Linked DNA regions of Drosophila melanogaster. The protein of the gene in region 3 interacts with the protein of the main gene of each other region in a biochemical or structural test. Each region holds a gene or a part of one and is shown on either strand. Other genes may lie near its edges. The genes, in order: edl, rl and pnt.

The links.
Region 1: the proteins of pnt (region 3) and edl form a complex in vitro, tested with the Drosophila melanogaster proteins (2 studies listed by BioGRID).
Region 2: of the proteins of pnt (region 3) and rl, one has a biochemical effect on the other in vitro, tested with the Drosophila melanogaster proteins (one study listed by BioGRID).

What each region holds. Positions count from the first base shown.
Region 1 is NT_033778.4:18,667,495-18,675,466, forward strand, and holds edl (ETS-domain lacking), read right to left. Parts: upstream 6,043-7,972; 5' UTR 5,452-6,042; intron 896-5,451; 5' UTR 869-895; coding exon 335-868; 3' UTR 33-334; downstream 1-32.
Region 2 is NT_033778.4:1,069,989-1,075,075, reverse strand, and holds the start of rl (rolled), read right to left. Parts: upstream 3,102-5,087; 5' UTR 3,031-3,101; exon of another isoform or gene 2,826-3,030; 5' UTR 2,795-2,825; coding exon 2,637-2,794; intron 805-2,636; exon of another isoform or gene 735-804; coding exon of another isoform or gene 712-734; intron 1-711. UniProt on the Drosophila melanogaster protein: Serine/threonine kinase which acts as an essential component of the MAP kinase signal transduction pathway to regulate proliferation, differentiation and effect cell fate decisions in various tissues.
Region 3 is NT_033777.3:23,343,081-23,348,201, reverse strand, and holds the start of pnt (pointed), read left to right. Parts: upstream 1-2,034; 5' UTR 2,035-2,804; intron 2,805-5,121. Other genes in the region: PolE1 (DNA polymerase epsilon subunit 1), read right to left, coding at 1-11.

The DNA.
Region 1 (7,972 bases), on a different chromosome or scaffold from region 3:
ACGAGTTCCTTCAATAAATACACCAGCTTGTTCAGTTATAAAATTTCATTTTATATTTTCATCATATGCGAACTTAGTTAACTAATAGGACAGCATTGTAACTTCAATCTTTTATTCTATTCACTCCAATCACTTTTCTTTCAAAATGAATTGAAAACTTGAAGCAATCTTTGACCATATTGAAATGCAGAATATTATCGCTAATACTTAAATGACGAGCAGAACTAAGGACTAGGCATTATAAGCTAGCATAACTAGAACTTAACTAATCGAATCCTAGAGATATGTACAACCATAGAGAGGACTGGGTATCCGTGAGATATATGGGTAATCCCTATGATAGCAGGGCCATTGCTCGGGCGAGTCGCACCCGGAAGTCGCGGTAGAGCATCTTGCCGCCCACGGGAACTCGGCACAGGTACATATCGAGACTCATCAGGCACAATGCCTTGCCGTTCATGGGGAATTTCTGTGGCAGTTCGGCGGTGACCTCCAATCCCTCGGATACGGCCATATTGATGAGCCATTTCCAGACATCCGCTCGCGTCCAATCGCGCGGATCCAGAGGCAGACCATCGGAGCCCAAGGGATGCAGCAGACTGGTGGTGCCATCATCAGCGCTCATCAGTCGATTGTTATTGTCGTCGGAGGAGTTGGATGTAGATGAGATGGCGGATGATGCACTGATCAGGGTTACTCCGCCGCGGCACTTGTCCAGCATTTGATAGGGATGATGCAGATGGCGTCTGGCGGATGCGTTATTGCCGCCACCATTGCCGCCCCACAAATCTTGGCCACCATTCACCTGGGTGAGGTCCAAAGGTGGCACACGTCCGGCATATTTGGTATAGCTCGATTCCACTTGCATTTCGCTTCCGTTCGCAACGTTTGAGTTCTGAAAGTGGAGTAAGAATTGCTGATTAAGGCTTGTGATTCACGTTTTGCGGGCGAAAGCGGCACATTGGCGGGCAAGTGATGGGGTTAGTACAACGGAAATGCTTTCCACAAGCTGGCAATTGTTTTAATCGTTACAACGGCAAGAAACAACAAAACAAGCGCATACTAATATAAATAATAACACGCATACGCCGATTTGTACACATCACAAGTGTGATGACCCTCGCTCTTTCACGATTGCAGGGTATATTGACAAAAAGATTACGAGCGATTATAATCTTAATGATATACACATAAACATATGATTCCTGATGAAATACAAAACTTCAAAAAATCAGCCAGCTTAACAACAAACAAGTTTGCTAAGCATATTTTGACTTTTGCTATACTTTGCATGAGGGTATCTGTTATTCGCCTATCGGCTGCTGAACTTCCTTTTCGAATTAATATTTCGTTATTAAATCTGACCTTGCTGCCGGAATGGGCGGCGTCAGCGGATCGCGGCGGATGGCGAGCGAAAGGAAGCGCTGAATAATCATTACGAAGCGGTGGCTGTCATATCGATCGGCGGTCACATTTGAATGGGGGGGAAACATAGGGGGCGGGGCCGGCGGTATCGGCATGTGGCTGACATAGAAACGCAGGCCAAGCTGCGATTGCGATTACAAACAAGATGGTCAGAGATCAGGGGGAATCCGGCCCAAGGAGAATAAGGAGGAGGAGGACATGGTGGTGATGAGGTCAAAACAGAGTGGAACGGAAATAATTACCAGCCAAATTGGCAGCTGCGAATGTGGCGAGCAAAACAAAGAGCCACCGAAATGGTGGTATTAAACAAAATAAAAATATATATATATGTGTACATCCGCCGACGGATCATCATAAAAGGTGTCAATGCGAATGTGGGTAAGAATGGCAATGGGAACGGGAAAGAGCCGGCGGAAGAGCGGCGTCGAGATTCCCAGTTCGCCAAAAGGGAACCTTAATAGTTTTCCGGAATGAGCTCCCCGGAGCTTCCGTTCAAGGAAATGCGTAAGGAGACGACGCAGTGGTTTTAATTACACAGCCCATTGGCGGCTTCAAAGAAATTCCCACGAAACTGTGACTCAAGCTGGCAAAAGGAAATAGGGTATATCTTTATCGCCATTTCTGATACATATGTACGTGTTTTCAAAATTATTTACTCTTGATTCTTCTGGGAATACATATTTATTTATCTACTTATTTACAAACAAACATTCAGAGCAATAAACCATAGGAATGCATCACAGCAGTAGGTATATATTGTAGGTAATGCATCCATCGAATCTTAAGTTACGATTAATGTGTAGAAGTGAAAGCAGATATTACAGACCACGGCAATCAAAACGAAATGGTGAATCACAGCGGTTGCCATAAACAATTTGAAACATTTAGTAGAGCGACACTCCAGACACCATTAGTTGGAAATAACAAAGCCCTCGAAGTAGAACCCCCTGGTGGAGAATGACCCATTAAGAATCCCTAAGTCTGGTCGATCTTCGGGTGGTCCCCCAGCGGGCGGAATTCAATTATTTCACATTATTTCAAATTCAATTTAAAGTGGAATAAACTAAGCCCACCCATGAAGCATAGGCTCTAAAATAACTTATCCATTATTATACGATCCTAACTAAATGATATATTAACTCAAATTAGCATGCAATCTTCTTGACATTTGGTTCAAACTGCATTCACAAACTGCATTCACTTCCGCCCACGTTAGAAGCCAATAAAGGCCGAAGTTTCTCACTCCCACGCGCGCGAAAAGCGTGTGAAAAGCGGAAAAATGGAAAACCAGAGCGGATTAGTCAGCAATTGCCGAAGGGAGCTGTCTGCGAGGCTTCCGTTGACTCGAATGCACCTCCACCCACCCAAATTGAGTTTCGAAGTGATTGATTCGTGTTGTCGGGGAGGGGAGCCAACTATAGTATACCCTGTATCCTATATGTACATATAGCATATGGCATTGACATTCGAGTTGATCGGTAGCTCGTGCTCAGCACGCGTTGTTTTTCACGCTTCGCTTTGTTTTCGGTGGATGGATGAATGGATGGAAATGGAAAAAGGAAAAGGAAAAGGAAAGGGAAATGGTTTTCAGTTACTATTCGGTTGACAAAAGTCAATGGCAGGAAGTTGAGTCGTCGGTGCAACGTTCGCATATCCGCTGCGCACAGGATGCACACCCCCATGTCCCTTTTTCAAGGAAATGCCCGCCAATACACTCGCACAAATAAATGAGGAAATGTGCGCCAGTTTTAATTGCATACACGAAAATATATTGAGTCTGTCTTCTCATGCTACTTAGTAGCAGCCACTAAACCAACACTCACACATGCAGAACTTTAAGTGTCCGGAAGACAAGGAAACGTAATACAAAAAAAAAAAAAAAATCGTAATTTGAAGTTCGTAAAAATGACGCGTTTCCTGTCATTTGGCGAGCACTTTAAGTGCGTAATTTGCTATCCGCCAAATATATGTGATTCTCGCTGTTTCGAGCGTGTATCTGTATCTGTGTATCTTGTCTGTTTTTGTCGGCGGGTGTTTATGCCCCACAATTTCCTCTTTCTCCAGGCTTGTCTTTTCATCTTTCAAGCGGTTTCCGCTCAACTAAACAGATTCTTCTCCGCGGATCACAATTTGTATGAGTTTTGCAGGGCCACAGGCATTAACATTTAATATTTCCAAATATTCAAAAAATTTAAATTGACATATTTTGTAAGAATTTGCGTGTAATCCGCTTGCAGAATAACTAATCTGACTAATGTAAATGAGCCAGTGGCTTATCGGCGATATTTGGATGAAATGACTAAGTAAATAGTGAGATATTTTTATATCATGCTAATAATCAGTCCGTTGTTGTTTTGTTAATTTGCTAAAATCTAAGTCTCATTTTCTTGGCTAGCCTTCAAGGCAACAAACTCGCCCATTCATCGAAGTGCATCAGACGACGACAGATGATAATCTGTGGAATATTGTTAAAAATAAACATTTTTTGCTCGTCTAGCTTGGCGGGCAAGCGAACCGGATTGCATTTGTGCACATGCTGCCACATCTTGTCGTTGTTGTTGTTGTTGTTTTTGTTGTTGTGACGTATGTTTGCTGATACTACAAATCATGTAACGCCATCGAGGCGAAGGCAGCGCAACTGCATCGTCTGCCTGACGTCTGCTATTGCCGTCTCATTCAGTGGCACTGTGACGCTGTCGCGCCGTCTCTGTCTGCCCCCAACAGCCCCATTCATCATTTCGCTGCACACTGAGAGAAATAGTCACAATGCAACAACAAAATTGGCTATTATTCGACCAGTAGAGTTGGAATAAAGTCCCAGTGCTTTTAATCTTTAATATTATTTTTATATTATTTCTTGAGAGATATTTTTTTCGCACACAACCTTTTCGCTCAGTGTGCGGCACTGTGGCCCCCAATGTGTGATGGACGGATGTGTGACGACTTTCGGTCTTGTTGTCGCTGATGCGTTTAAAAATATAAGTACCGTGCGGCCAAATGGCGCCAAATGCATTTCGAATCGCTTTGAGTCTTGTCAAATGTGCAGTAGCGCAAGTAAATTAAAATGAATGTGATAGGAACTAAGAAAGTAGGGGATTCATGTATGTTCCGCGTTCACTGTTCACGCCTCGCACGTGTCATCGCGAAGTGAGCCATTGCAGCTGATCCCCAGCTCCTCGCCGCCCTTGGGTCAGCAGGAAGTGGGTCCCCTGCCCGATGGCCCAGTAAGTGCTTATCAAAGTGAGTGGCATAGTCAGAGGTTTGTCATTTCCACCTCCCCACGAGAAAGAACGACGGCGAGCTGAGTCAGCTGGGAAATTAATTAAGCGGGCGAGGCCAGGTGCAGATTGTTCAGTCCTGCAGCTGCAAAGATTACCCAGAACACGCGGGGCAAACGGTATGCCACTCCTGCTGCAACCCTCGACGCCCATACAACTCCATATCCTTTGCGCATGCGCGCGCATTCAGTGTGAGCAAGAAGAACAGAATGAACAGAGAAACGGGTCCAATAACTGGGAGAAACCACGAAACCATCCAGCCGAATGCATCTTTATCGACTTGGCCACAACAATTCTGTTTGCAGCTGCCGTCTTGGCATTTTAAGTGTCGCTTTGTTAGTGCACAGAACGAAATTGTATGTTATTAAGGGATCAGTCGAGCAGCACAAGGTGGTCTTCCTCTTTTTGGCCCAAAAGATGTATCTTAGCCGTTATGTAGCTTATTTCCCTTGGCAAATGCCGAACCAGTCGAACCTCAAGATATCTTGAAATATGTATCTACGTGAACTTTCAATTTGTTACTACCGCTCGGCTTCATTTTAGCTTAATTATGAAAACACCAGCTTGGAGGTCAATTAGCCAGAGTCACATCAAAACTGACAGACAACTTTTGTCGGTTTTTGGGCTGCAAGACAGCTACATACCAACTATAAAAGCCAAGAGTCAACTTAAACCTTCGGAATGCTTTTGAGTGTTAATGATGGCCATAAAAAAAAAAAATGAAAACAGCATATGTAAACCGACTTACCTTGATCGAAAAAAATGTTAATCCAACAATAGTTTGTGTTGCGAATCGTCGTCGTCGAGGTTGAGTTGTTGGAAAATTTGTTTTTTTGGGTGTATTCGAATTTTTCAGCCTTTATTATTTGTTTGGTTTCGGTTGGGTTATAAATATGTTTAAATGGTATCTGCTTCTGGAAACTGCACTTTGCTTGGCTCTCGCTCTCCCAATGGGATTGTATCTCTCGGATACGTTTCGTTTCACAACTTTTGCAGCATATAACGTATTTTTCACGCTCTGAACTACTTTTCCTATTTCGCTATGGCTCGGGTTTTGAAAGTTTTTCGTTGCTACTGCAATTGGCTTCGTTTTTCACTTAACACGATTTGTAGTTGTGGCTATTGTTTTGGTTTTCTATTTTTTGTTATTTCTTTTATTTTATTTTTTTTTTTTGGGGTGGTAAATCCAGTTTGCCAGTTGCAATCGTCAGGCGTACTGCGAAACGTATCTTTGTATCTGGCGGATGAGTGAGTAATGCGCACTGCAAATCTATATGAAGCTCAGAAATGTATCTGTGTCTGCGTTCTGCTCGCGCGCGCTCCACGTTCTCAACTGATTGCGATCGTGCTCGTGCAGCGGTTTTTGTTGACTGCGCTCTCTTCGAATTCGAGTTCGAATTTCGGCCCGGCTTCTCAGCTCTGCAGTTTCTCTCGACAACAGCTGTGGACATATTTGTAGATCGCGTACAGAAAGAAATTAGTATTAAAAGGACAATTAAAAGTTGGAAAAATTAAAAAAAAAAAATATTTTTACTTATTGCGTTAACTTTAATTTTTGTTCTTATTAACAAATGTTTAAGAATTTAGTTTTTGATATATGTCTATATATAAATATTTACCTAATTTATATAAATAAATCATATCAAAGTATAGAATTATATAGTTTATTACTGACTTAATATCGGTGAATATATTGAAAATTTTTAGTTTTTTGTTTCAGTGTATATGCAGACCCGCATTTCGAACAATCTTTCCTGCTTATTGAGCCAACAGCTAAGGTCAATGAAAAGAGGTTCTTTGGCTTCCAGAATGAAGGAAATACGAATAGTTCCTTGGCCTATAGAAATGTGGGTTAACTTTAGCTGTATGAACTTTTTTGTTCAAGGATTAAGGGATTTGAAAACAGACTTTATGGTATTTGTATTCTTATTTATAGGGGTATTAAGGAAACGAAAGATTCACATACAGCCAGAGAAAGGCAATCCGTCGGGTTAATCCCTGCATTCGAATGTTCTAAATATCTTTTCTGGAAGCTGTCATCGAGTGTCTTTGACACTTCTGTGCGCAGTTGAAAAAAAAGTATTTTAAGGAGTAGTTATTAAAAACATGTTTTGAAATAAAATGTTGAAATTAATATGTCATAAAAGAATATACAAATATCCATAACCTTTATATTTTGTACTTTTCCTATATTATTCCACGTTTTCTATGACTAGACCTTGACACTTAATTTATCACCATATTCATTAACAATTTTCGAAGATTTATCATGCACTTGTGCATTCATTAATTCTGTAAGTAACTAACTCATTAATTTCGTGGAACGTTCCTAATTATTCAGCCAGCATTGATCGTCGAGTAATTACAGGAAATCCTTTTCCTGCCGCGCACTAAAAAGCATTTCAATGTTTTGCGGCTGGCACGCATGCCAAGCGATATCGGGATACCTCTGGAGATCCTTTTTGGGGATTCGAATCGGAATGGTATAGCATATGGTAATACATACATATATATATTTATCTGTACTGTAGGTCAGCCATGTGTGCAGAGCTGTCAAGTGCGTGCTGGAATCCTTTTAACCATCGCGTGAGGCGGGATCATGCCGCTGATCGAGTTACGCCAGTTTTTACTTGGAAATTTTATCAGTAGTTGCAGGACCACGCCCACGGGCACGCGTACGCCCTGAAAAAGGTGCATAGGTGCAGGATCGATCAGCTGCACTCGAATTGCAGCGCAGATGCAGCAGCTACTCTTTGAAGCGGTGTCCTGTTGCGATCTCAAGTGCATCTAATGGCTTGTTTATCAGCAGTTGTCGATCGCCGGGCAAATAAATTGAGTAGGTACCATTTTCCTTAATTGATTGCGGCGTTGTTCTAATCATTTCTAATTGCGATGCGAAGGACGCGCGTAGATAAGGACACACGGAGAAAAATGTATACCCACAAAAAAATAATGTAAAATCAAGCAGAACTTGAAAAGTACTTTTGATTTTAAGAATATAATATAGACCATTTTATAATTTTAAGCTAGCAGTATCTTTAATATCAATATAAAAGTGATCAAGCGAATGTTTGAATATTTATTCACTAATTTTATAATCCTGCATGGGTTTTTTCCAAGTGCACATACAGTTAATCCCCGGCTCATCCTGTCCACATACGAACCCAAGCCAAAACAGCTGCCTTGCATCCAATTGCAACGTTTTTTCCCTATTGTCTGGCCAGGAATCGGAATTTGAATCTAAGCATTAGGTACGAGTATCTCGAAGG
Region 2 (5,087 bases), on a different chromosome or scaffold from region 3:
TGATTTTTAGCATATATGAACTAATAAGCATTGGAACAAATTTTCAACAGGCGAAAGCCTTGGATTGCTATAAGAAAGTGGACAAGAAAAAAAAAGAAGCAGCGGGTTCATTAGAAATACATTATGATTTGAAACGCTTAATGAATATAGTAAATGAATGTATAGTAAACCATGTTATTAATAACGCCACAAGAGAGCGTGAAAAAAGAGAGCATGGAGATCAATACAATTAATGTGTCCAGTCGGTGTTGAGATCAACACAGGGAACCACCACAAACTTTTGTAAACTCATTTAAGTTTAATATTACACTCACATATTTCGCGAAATATTATTTTAAAATAAACATTTATAATAATACAACGTCGTCGCAGAAATGAATTTCGTTAAACAGGACCCTGGGACAATTTTTAGGGCTTAGTAGGAATTATTTACAAAATCACTCATAATTTAAGTGGCATGCAAAGAGTAATAACTTTTGTGCTATGTAGTTAAAGAAATTACAAATAACTCTGGTGTGGAAAACAAAGATAAGAAAGAAAAGAAAGGCAAAAAAAATTGCAAAGAAAACAATTGGTGTGATATTAATCCTGATAAAGAATATATATACTTTATGTGGTCGGAAACGCTTTCTTCTGCCTGTCACATACATTTCAACGAATCTAGTAAAATACGCATGTAAAATAATTAGGAATGATATCGCTATGGAAGACCTAATAACTAAGGCAGACTCCATAGATGTTCTCCAACAGTCCCAAGATGGATTAGGTCCAAGAAATGTTCGTCATTAAGGATTTATGCACATTCTGTTAAAATAAATTAGAACAAATAATAGGATATGGTGGTGAATTCCGATTTTTTATAGCAGAACAGCGACAAATAAGGAATATATTTAAGTATTCCTTTGTACAGCCAAATAGCTATAAACTTAAAAGAAGAACTTTTTTGGACCGATTCAATGCGATCCGATTGAGGTACGTATACTCAAGAATCGAACGGACTAGCGAAATGAATAAGGTTTTGGTGCTGTAATGATCATTTAATTCCTTTGACCTCCTTTTTATTAAACCAAGCACACCCCTGCCTTATTGACAATAGTCGAAATATGATCTGAAAAACTTTAGTTTAAGGTCCAGAAGAACACTAAAATCAGCAACCAATGTTATATCAAAGACACTAGAATAACAAGATGCGTAACGGCCATACATTGGTTTGCAACTATGCAGCCACACATATGGCTCGATATCCAATTAAATAATAAGCTATAGCGTAACAAGCAACGCCAGCAAAATTAAATTTAGCCGCCGGGCTTCGAATTCCTGTCCGCCCTAAATTTCCTCACCAATACCAATACCAATCAACATCTCATAATATCTATCCACAATAAGAAACCCTCTCACCAACCACTTCCCAATTATTTAACTTATATGGATGCCCACTCACATCGGCATATCCGCCAACGAATACGCCGACAAAACAGCTAAAGATGCCCACAGATACGCCCTTGTACACTCCTCAAATTACAACTGTGACGACTTTTCTCAATTTTCCCTGGTATGAGCTCATCCTTCAAGCTACAACACTACATAACACAATAAGAAAACACAAATCCTAATAAAAAGGCTCAGGCTTGGACACACCAACCTTACCAATGCCCACTACATGAACTGACCCCTCCCCAAAATATGCTCTCTTCAGTCAATCAACCCCATTTGCTACCCACCTCAAAACTCCAACCTAATCAAAAAACATAAAACTATAATTTAAAATTAAAAGAAACTAAAAAAAAAAACAAAATGTCCGCTTTTTAAATATTTTATAAGAATATAACAAAATAATTCAACTAAATATTTTTTATTTTTAAATACTGAAAAATGAAATGTTGCCATGCCCACTCTCCGCCCAAAACTGCAACTGCAACTTTTAAAAAATGTGTTGATTTTTTATTTTTGAAAATGTAGGTTCCAAATTTACTTTTAATGAATGAATGAATAATCCCTAATTATGTCCAAAAGCATTAGAAAAAGGTATAAAGGCACCGAGTAAAAGAGTACTTTAACAAGCAAATCCAAGTTTAGCGAGAAATTGTATTGCGTTGAACAACCGATCGACCGGTAAACGAAAGTTTTGTGCGCAGCGTTTAAAAGCAAGCAATATGACTCAGAAGCTATTGACTTTCCTTTATTTATAAAGTCCATCGGCCAATTTAGGCTTTTGCATGAAAACAAACTCGGTTGTGTCGACCCTTAAAGATTGATTTTGTCAAAGAAAAAGCAAAACTAAGCCACGTTTAGAGAAAAAGAAAGAAATCAAAAATTTGAGAAACTATTTCGTTGTTAAGTGTTTCACAGCTTAGTACTGCGTATGATTGATGTGAATAAATTTAATGCATTTTCGAAAAATAACATTGATTCAGCAATACCATGTATGCGAACTTACAGCAAAGGACTTGAACAAAATGTATTACTTGATATAAAATCAAGAGAACACGGTTCTGAGTATTACTGCATTTCGGAAGGAGAACCGCAAGATAAAAAAAAAACTATGAATAATGGACAAAGGAACAACAAGAAAGAGGTGTGCAAACACTGTAGATTAAAAACGGCTTCAAAAATAAAAATAGGTATTAGGTACTTACACAACCATGCCATAAGCTCCTTCACCTATATAGGCGAGTTTAATATACCTAGGACCAACTTCAAATATTTGTCCCCTTATAACTTCAGCATTAGATTGAGGAACTTCCGTAGATCCTGTACCATTAACTACTGATCCGCTCGAATTAAATTCCTCCATGACTAACGTTTCTTCTGGAAAACTTGAAATACTACTAAAGATGTTATGATACAAAATACACCGTATCTGCAAAATTCGCAATGTATGTATGCGTGGATTGTAATAACACTTTTACAACTGAATATGTCCCACTTTATCTTATTTAAGTGAACAGCAATAAGTGCAAAATCTTTATTTACTTTATTATGAATTTAACCAAAAGTCTATAACTTAAGATATGAATATATAAACTCAACTTTTTTTTACTCTTTAGACAAATGCGTAAATATGATTTATCAAAATCGACGGCGTAAAACATTAATAATATGTTAAGATAACGACACTGGTCAATGTTTATCCGATCCAATTATAATCGGATCCCAAAAGGTACATCAGTCTTTTGGCAGCCACAATTTCCACAATTAATATTAAATAATATAATAATTTAAAAATGATCAGTCATTGCGTAAGACATTTTTTTATTTAAAAATTGGTATTAAAGGAGGAAATTGATCATCACATATTAACCTGATGTTGGGTTAAATATATTTTTGGACATTTTTCAATGGGAGCGCAGAAATAAAAACCTTTTGACTTAGTGTTATATTCCTAATTTAAGCTATTATTGCCCATTAAAATAAAACAAGAAAGCAGGCATGTGCCATCTTCTGCTGTGTGACCTAACAGATGTAAATTCAGCGTAAACGGAACTAAAAGTACTGTTCCCACCATTAAGACGTGACTACAAACCAATGTAGAATATACATATTAACACGAAAGCAGAAATTAAATGTTTAATTAAGAGAAAACAAATCCTTTAATTGCTTTTTTATTATATTATAATAAAATTTCTTAACAGCTCACTACTCAGAAGCATATACAAATGTACAGCTAACTAAATGTAGTTTGCCCACTACAGAAAATTCAGCAGTGTTGCAACGGAGGATGATTGATGATCGAACATTCTTTTTAAACAAAATACTATCAGATGTCAAAAACTTTATATTTTTACATTAAAAAATCCGAATGTACTTAAATATATTTGTTACTCTTAAGGTGATATCCGAAGTAAATGCTACGTACGCCAAGTATATAAGTTTACAGAAATCGTGAAAAATATGTCTATGACAGCTATTTATTTTATGAATTAATGAAATACCATGGTTTTAGGTATAAGTGTAGGTTTAATTTTTTTAATTAATGTAGGTTTATTTTATAACATGACCTTTTCCTTATTAACAATTTATTTCATTCTTAGAATACATTTCAGTTTAACTCGCATGACGGAGCGGGTACAAGTGTAGCACCGCAAAGAGCGACTGCAAAGCTAGCACATTGTTTAAAATGCCCAACTCAGTTGATGTCTAGTTTTAGTATATAGTTTAGTTTAGTTTGTGTATGGAGTTTTGGGATTTTGTTTAACAGCCGTCAGACTGCAAAACTTGTGTTTGGTCGGCGCTGCCGCAGTCCAGACGTCAGTCGTTGCCGTTGTTGGCGCAATAAGTTGCGCAGGAACCAGTGATTTTGATATAATTCATTTGTATTATCTATTAAAGAAGAAGTGGGTCCAACGTGAATGGACTTAGAGAGCACAGAAAGAACTTATTAAGACTCATAAATAAATTCAAATATATCTTTACTTTAAAAATTTCAACTTTAATTTCCTTTATCATTTTTCTTTTGTTCAATTTTAATTGTCAGGGAAAACAATGCTTAAGAACTTTGGTTTACCCTTGGACACAATTATTTTCAAAAATGAAGACATTCTTAAATTAAGTAATGGTGAGGTAAAATTATATGGAGGAACACAGTAAGCGTCCAACTTCGGTTGATCATCTGTCCCTGTCGAATTTCTTAACTTAACTTTGTAAATTACAGTTTGTGTTTGTTAGTTTCAAACGCTTTGGAATATAGAGATGCAAACTTTTAAGAAAACTCTAACCCCGGTTCACTAATTTCGTTCTGGAAAAGTGTTTTATGGACAGATGTAAGTTCTTTCGAGAATAACTCGTTAAAAAAAGCTGCAGCTTCACTTAAACTTATTTATTTAGGTATTAAAGGCTTGTCAAAATACTTATGCCAATACAAAAAATAATCATATTACATTAACTTGTCTATATCGTTTGTTAATTTTTATGTTTATATTACTTACACCCAACAAATAAAAAATAATCATTATTATCATATTAAGTCATTTTAAAATTTTACTGCCAACAGTGTGTGTAGTGCCGACTAGTGTGTTCTGTGACTGAGCAGAAATGTTTGGTGGCGATAGCAGCTATGCGAAATTTCAGAGATTTTAACTGATCATGTC
Region 3 (5,121 bases):
GAGTCGGACATTTCCGTGCTGTTTAGCAGAAATAAAATAAATAAATGTAAATAACTTGTTGCCGCCAAAAATCTGCAAACGTCTCAGAAATGTGCTAACGCGTTGCAGAGAATGCTGACATTTAGCTGTTGCACAGCACTGTAAAGTAACACGTTTGGCGCCAATTTCAAAATGTTACTACAAATAAAAGAAAACAAGAAAATTATTAAATGGTTTTAAGAATATAAGTTTTACCTAGAAATCCTCAATTATTCTTAGCTTTGTAGTTCCACCTAACACAAATTAAAAAAATAATGCTTAAAATCTGATGAAATCATAAAATATAATATTTATGTTTATTTCATCACAGCTTGACCATTTTAGCTATAATTTTCCTGTAATGGGCATTAAATGCCCTATTTGCTGACAATTTAAGGACAGCTGCTGGCCAATTGAGTTGGCCTGTTGGCCATGTGTTTTCCAACTGCTGAAATGTGAAGTTTTTTCTACTAGTTCTCCGCTGCAATGGCATCATGCAGTCACGCACACAGGCGCATTCATTCATAAAAATCCGGCTCACCTACACGAGTTGTAAGATTCCAGCGCAGTGGAGAGAGGGAGAGAGAGTGGGAGAGCGGCGCGCATGCGCTCTTTGAGTTCTTTTTTTTCGCTTGCTGCACTTGTCGCCCCCTTTTATGTTTTTCAGTTTTACCTCTGCGGCAGCAATTAAGTTGCAGCAGAGGTTGACAATCAGCCATATTTTTATTGCACGTGTTTCGTTATGCAAGGCTGGTTAAGTTTTTTTTTTTTATGTGTACATATACGCTCCCTTGGCCGGGAAAATCGGGAACGCCATCAAGTTTTGTTATCCCGAATCTTATTGCCCTTTTTCTGGGTGCAGCTGGCCATTTGACTGCCGCCCCTGCACTTGCATTCACTTATGCTGTGTAATTTGTAATTTATGCGAAATGCGTTGCCGGAATATAAAAACATTGCAGTCGTTTCAGTTCCATATCGCCGCTCTCTGTCGCACACACTCTCCGCACACATAAACCTGTTTGTGTTTTTGATTTGCGCGAAAGAGAGAGAGAGAGAGAGCCTTTCGAACGCACAGTGGTTGTCATGGTCACGGTGGGAAAATATCGCGCTTAACTTTTTTTGGGGTGTCCAAAAGTATTTTCCCAAGCTGCAGCTTTCCCACATTGTGTGCAAACTTTAATAATGATAATAATAAGTTGATAATTTAATCTCACATCAAAATTTTCATATAGGTATTATTTCATATTAAATAAATATTTTATTAATTATTATAACAAAGAAACTAGTATAATTTTCCTTTTAAATAAGCTGGAACTGATATTTTGACCAATTTACTTTATTTGTCAAAAATATAGATTTGTATAAAATCCAGAATCAAAATAAATAAATTTTTATATCAGTGTACACAATTGAAAGACTGAGACTGCCAAATTTTAAAATATTTGTCTTTATTATTCCGCCCCCTTTGCATACTAAATATTTTAAATATACTAGTGATTTTGGGCACTGTTTAAATGCTTGCCAAAAACGATCGCCCGCACACACACACACACACACATACACGCACCCACACACTCTCTCGCATATTCGCACTTACACTGAGTTCTGAGCAAGCAGATTTTTTTTATAAATTGTTGCTATTTTTTTGTCGCTGCAAACACTTTGTTTTTGCTGCTCGAAATATGTAATTCTGATTTCCATTTTTTTCTTGCGCTCATGATGCACGCTCTAGTGCGAGTGCGAAAGAGATAGCGAGATTGAGGATCACCCACGCCTTTTCGTTTTCATTCCAGCGATCAAGTAAAATAGCGAATAATGTTTATAAGTCAGATTGATATAACTCTCGATTTTCATATTATTTGCCATTTTTGTTATCACTTGCCAGAGCAACACAAAAAAATATTAATCTTAGCAGCGGAGAGAAAGAGAGAGAGAAACGGAGAGAGAAGGTGCGTCGGCGTTGGCGTCAACGCTGCGTCTGCGCCAACGTCGGCGTCGCTGCCGCCTGTTGCCAGTCGGTCAGTCTGTTTTTGTCTTTCTTTCGGGAAGCGTGCACTTGCGCTACGGTAAATTCGATTTGAATGAATTATACGAATCAAATAACAAATAAATAACAAATGCAAAACACTTTGCAAGCCAAGCAAAAACCCAGTGTGTAAGTGAATGAGTGCAATAGCAAAACATCTAAAGATCTGCGCGCGCAATATACATCAAAAAAAGGAAGGCAAACAGCAACAGAAAAAAAAACGCGGTTCAGAAACACAGGAAACCAATTTCTATATACGAAATTCATCATAAAACCACAAAAATCTCCTCAAACATCGCGTGAGAGTGCCTGAGTGTGAGTGTGCGCGCGCGTGTGTGTGTTTGCCAGCGATCCGTCGGCCTTTTTTCGGTTTGTTTCTTTTCGCGTCTTATAAGCCGAGCTAAACCGATCCCCGATTTCTTCTCGAGTTGTTCCTTTCGGTTTTTCGTTTGTCTTTGTGCCCGGCACGTAATCCCTCTCTCTCTCCCCCTAATCAACCTGCTGATCCCACCGGAGGGTTAAAACATACACATCTATACAGCGTGATAGAGAGAGAGAACGAGCAAGAGATAGTCATCGGTGCTGCGGAGTCCATCAAGATTGTGCGCCTAATTTGAAGCTGTAATTAATTTGGATACCCTAATAAAAAGCCAACCGAAAGACGGTCTTTAGAATCCAGAACCCACAAACCAAAAATCAAGAGCCCAGTAGCCCCCGCCTTCTTGTTCACGAAGGGGCGCTATTTTATTACCCCGCACCGGTAAGAAAAGTGAAGTGTTGAAAAACAGTAGTTCAAGTATTAGTTTTTGTTATTTTCCCTACACTCGAAACAAAAATCCAGCGAAAATTAAAAGACAAAACAATTGAAAACAAATAATAAACCATATATCTCTTAATTGCTGTTGATATATAGTTTTGAAATATAACTTTTAAATCATATTTATCTTAAAAATATGAAATTTAGAGAGTTTCTTTTGAGTGCATGTAAACCCTTTTTGTGTTGGTGTTGCCTGTTTTCTTGAATGAATCTAGGAGAAAACTGGTTTGGCTACCGCTCGGTAGATCCGCCGATCTCGCGATCTCGCCTCGATTCAGGATTGCTGCCTCTATAAACTCGTTGTTGGCCAGGCCAACAGAATTTGAATTGGTTTTCTACTCGGCATCATAGCCAAGCTAGTTAGCCGCCAGTGTGCGTGAGTGTGTGTGTGTGGGGCACTTCCACAACCCTTGTGGGAAACACGCTCGAAATTACTACTGTTCCTTTTACAGCTTCCGGTGCGGCAAATGAGCTTCGCCTGCCCCACGATCGCGTTTCGGGCCATCAATCCAAGGGGTTTGGTAATCGAGAATGTGTGAACGGTTTTTGGTTAGGGTCAAGAATCTAGCACAGCGATCGCATTAGACAATTAAGTATCAATAAAACTGATACCGGAGTGCTACTCTTTTGACCTTTCGGTTTTAAAGTATGTATAATTGGGGCTTTCCTGTTCTGCACTTTGGGTTACCTGAAAGGGTTTTTAAAAGGATCTTACAATTTGGGATGTAAATTAAAGTAATTATTAATACAAAAAAGATCAAAGGATAGTTAAAGGCTTAACCGATATCATATTTTATAAAAATGTTACCATTAAAATGATTAATTTTACAATAAGATTTTGCTTAGATCAATTGTTATTATTTCTATGATAAAACTTGATTTACGTCCTTATCGCAGTCTTAAAGCCAAAAAACGATAATTTAAGGAGTTACGATCATTGAACTACTCTAAAGACATGTTTAATATCCCTTGGGCTATTTAAAAAAAACCAATTTGCGAGCAAAATACACAAGGGAATGATAAGAAATTATTGCCATAATCGATAATTTGATGTGTGACGATCGTCGGATCATAATTGAGCCCAGCTACCGCCAACCGCTCCTCTCCCTTTCCCTCCTCGAGCGTCTGGTCCGAAATGAAAGACCAGTTCAAGATCCTTTTCCATAAATACCCACAGACAATTACAGTTCAGTGGATGTTCGACGGGCTGGTTCGTTGCCCCATGCCACGTTAAACTCGGATTCTGTGCCCGGACCGATGCTAAAAGTATCAACCTGCTGCAGACAGGCCGAGATCAAGATCGATCCCATGACAAGACAAGACGACACACTCGCACAGATATGCCACACACACAGATACTCCGCACACATAGATATTCCGCACACACATGCAGTTCGGACTGTTCTGCGACAGATAGAACAACACATGTGTACACAGGCAGGCATCCCGAGGATCATCAGCGGATCGGAGATCCCTTCTTTACATTCAGCGCGAGGAAAAAAGGGCCAGGCGCTGGGAAAGAAAAGAGCAGCGACTAAATGTGTATTCTACCGTTACGTACACATCGAAAAATTGCACCCCTATTTGTTGCCGCTGCTGGTGTTTTAGTTGTTGCTGTCGTTGTCGTCTGGCCGAGGAGTGCGCACCATATCAAAAGATCATATTCGTTTACAATCTGTTCTTTAAGCATCTGCTGCGCCCAGACTCTCCTCCAGACATCAAAAACTCGGACTGCCAGACATCTTCCACTCGTTTGGTCCACTTACTATGGGCCAACCCAAAAAATTTTGCTCTTTTCCAGGGAAAACATATGCTCCGATTTTCGTTTCAATTCGATTCGTGTGGTTTTTTGTTGTCGCCCTCGCTCTCCCTCATACATACGTATATATAATATTTTATTTTATTTTATTTTTTTTTTTCGGTTCGGTTATCTACGTGTCGGGGCGATAAGGTTTTTTGTTCAGATAGTTTTAGCGATTGCGACTCGTTTTTGGCACCCTGCCGAATGATTTTTGGTGCTCGAAATGCTGCGATTTGAAGGCGGTTTTTGAAAAATGTGCCACTTTCAAACTTACGCATTTGTTCCTCGATTTTCCCTCTGGACTTATCTGCATTTGAGGAATTTATTTTCATATGAATGATTGATTGGTTTCAAAAAAAAAACTGTGGAATTCGCGAATCGATAAGGACAATTGTCAAGTCACTTTTAATTAATTGACTAAATAAACCCAAATTAATCTCTGCCACTTGGAGGCACAAG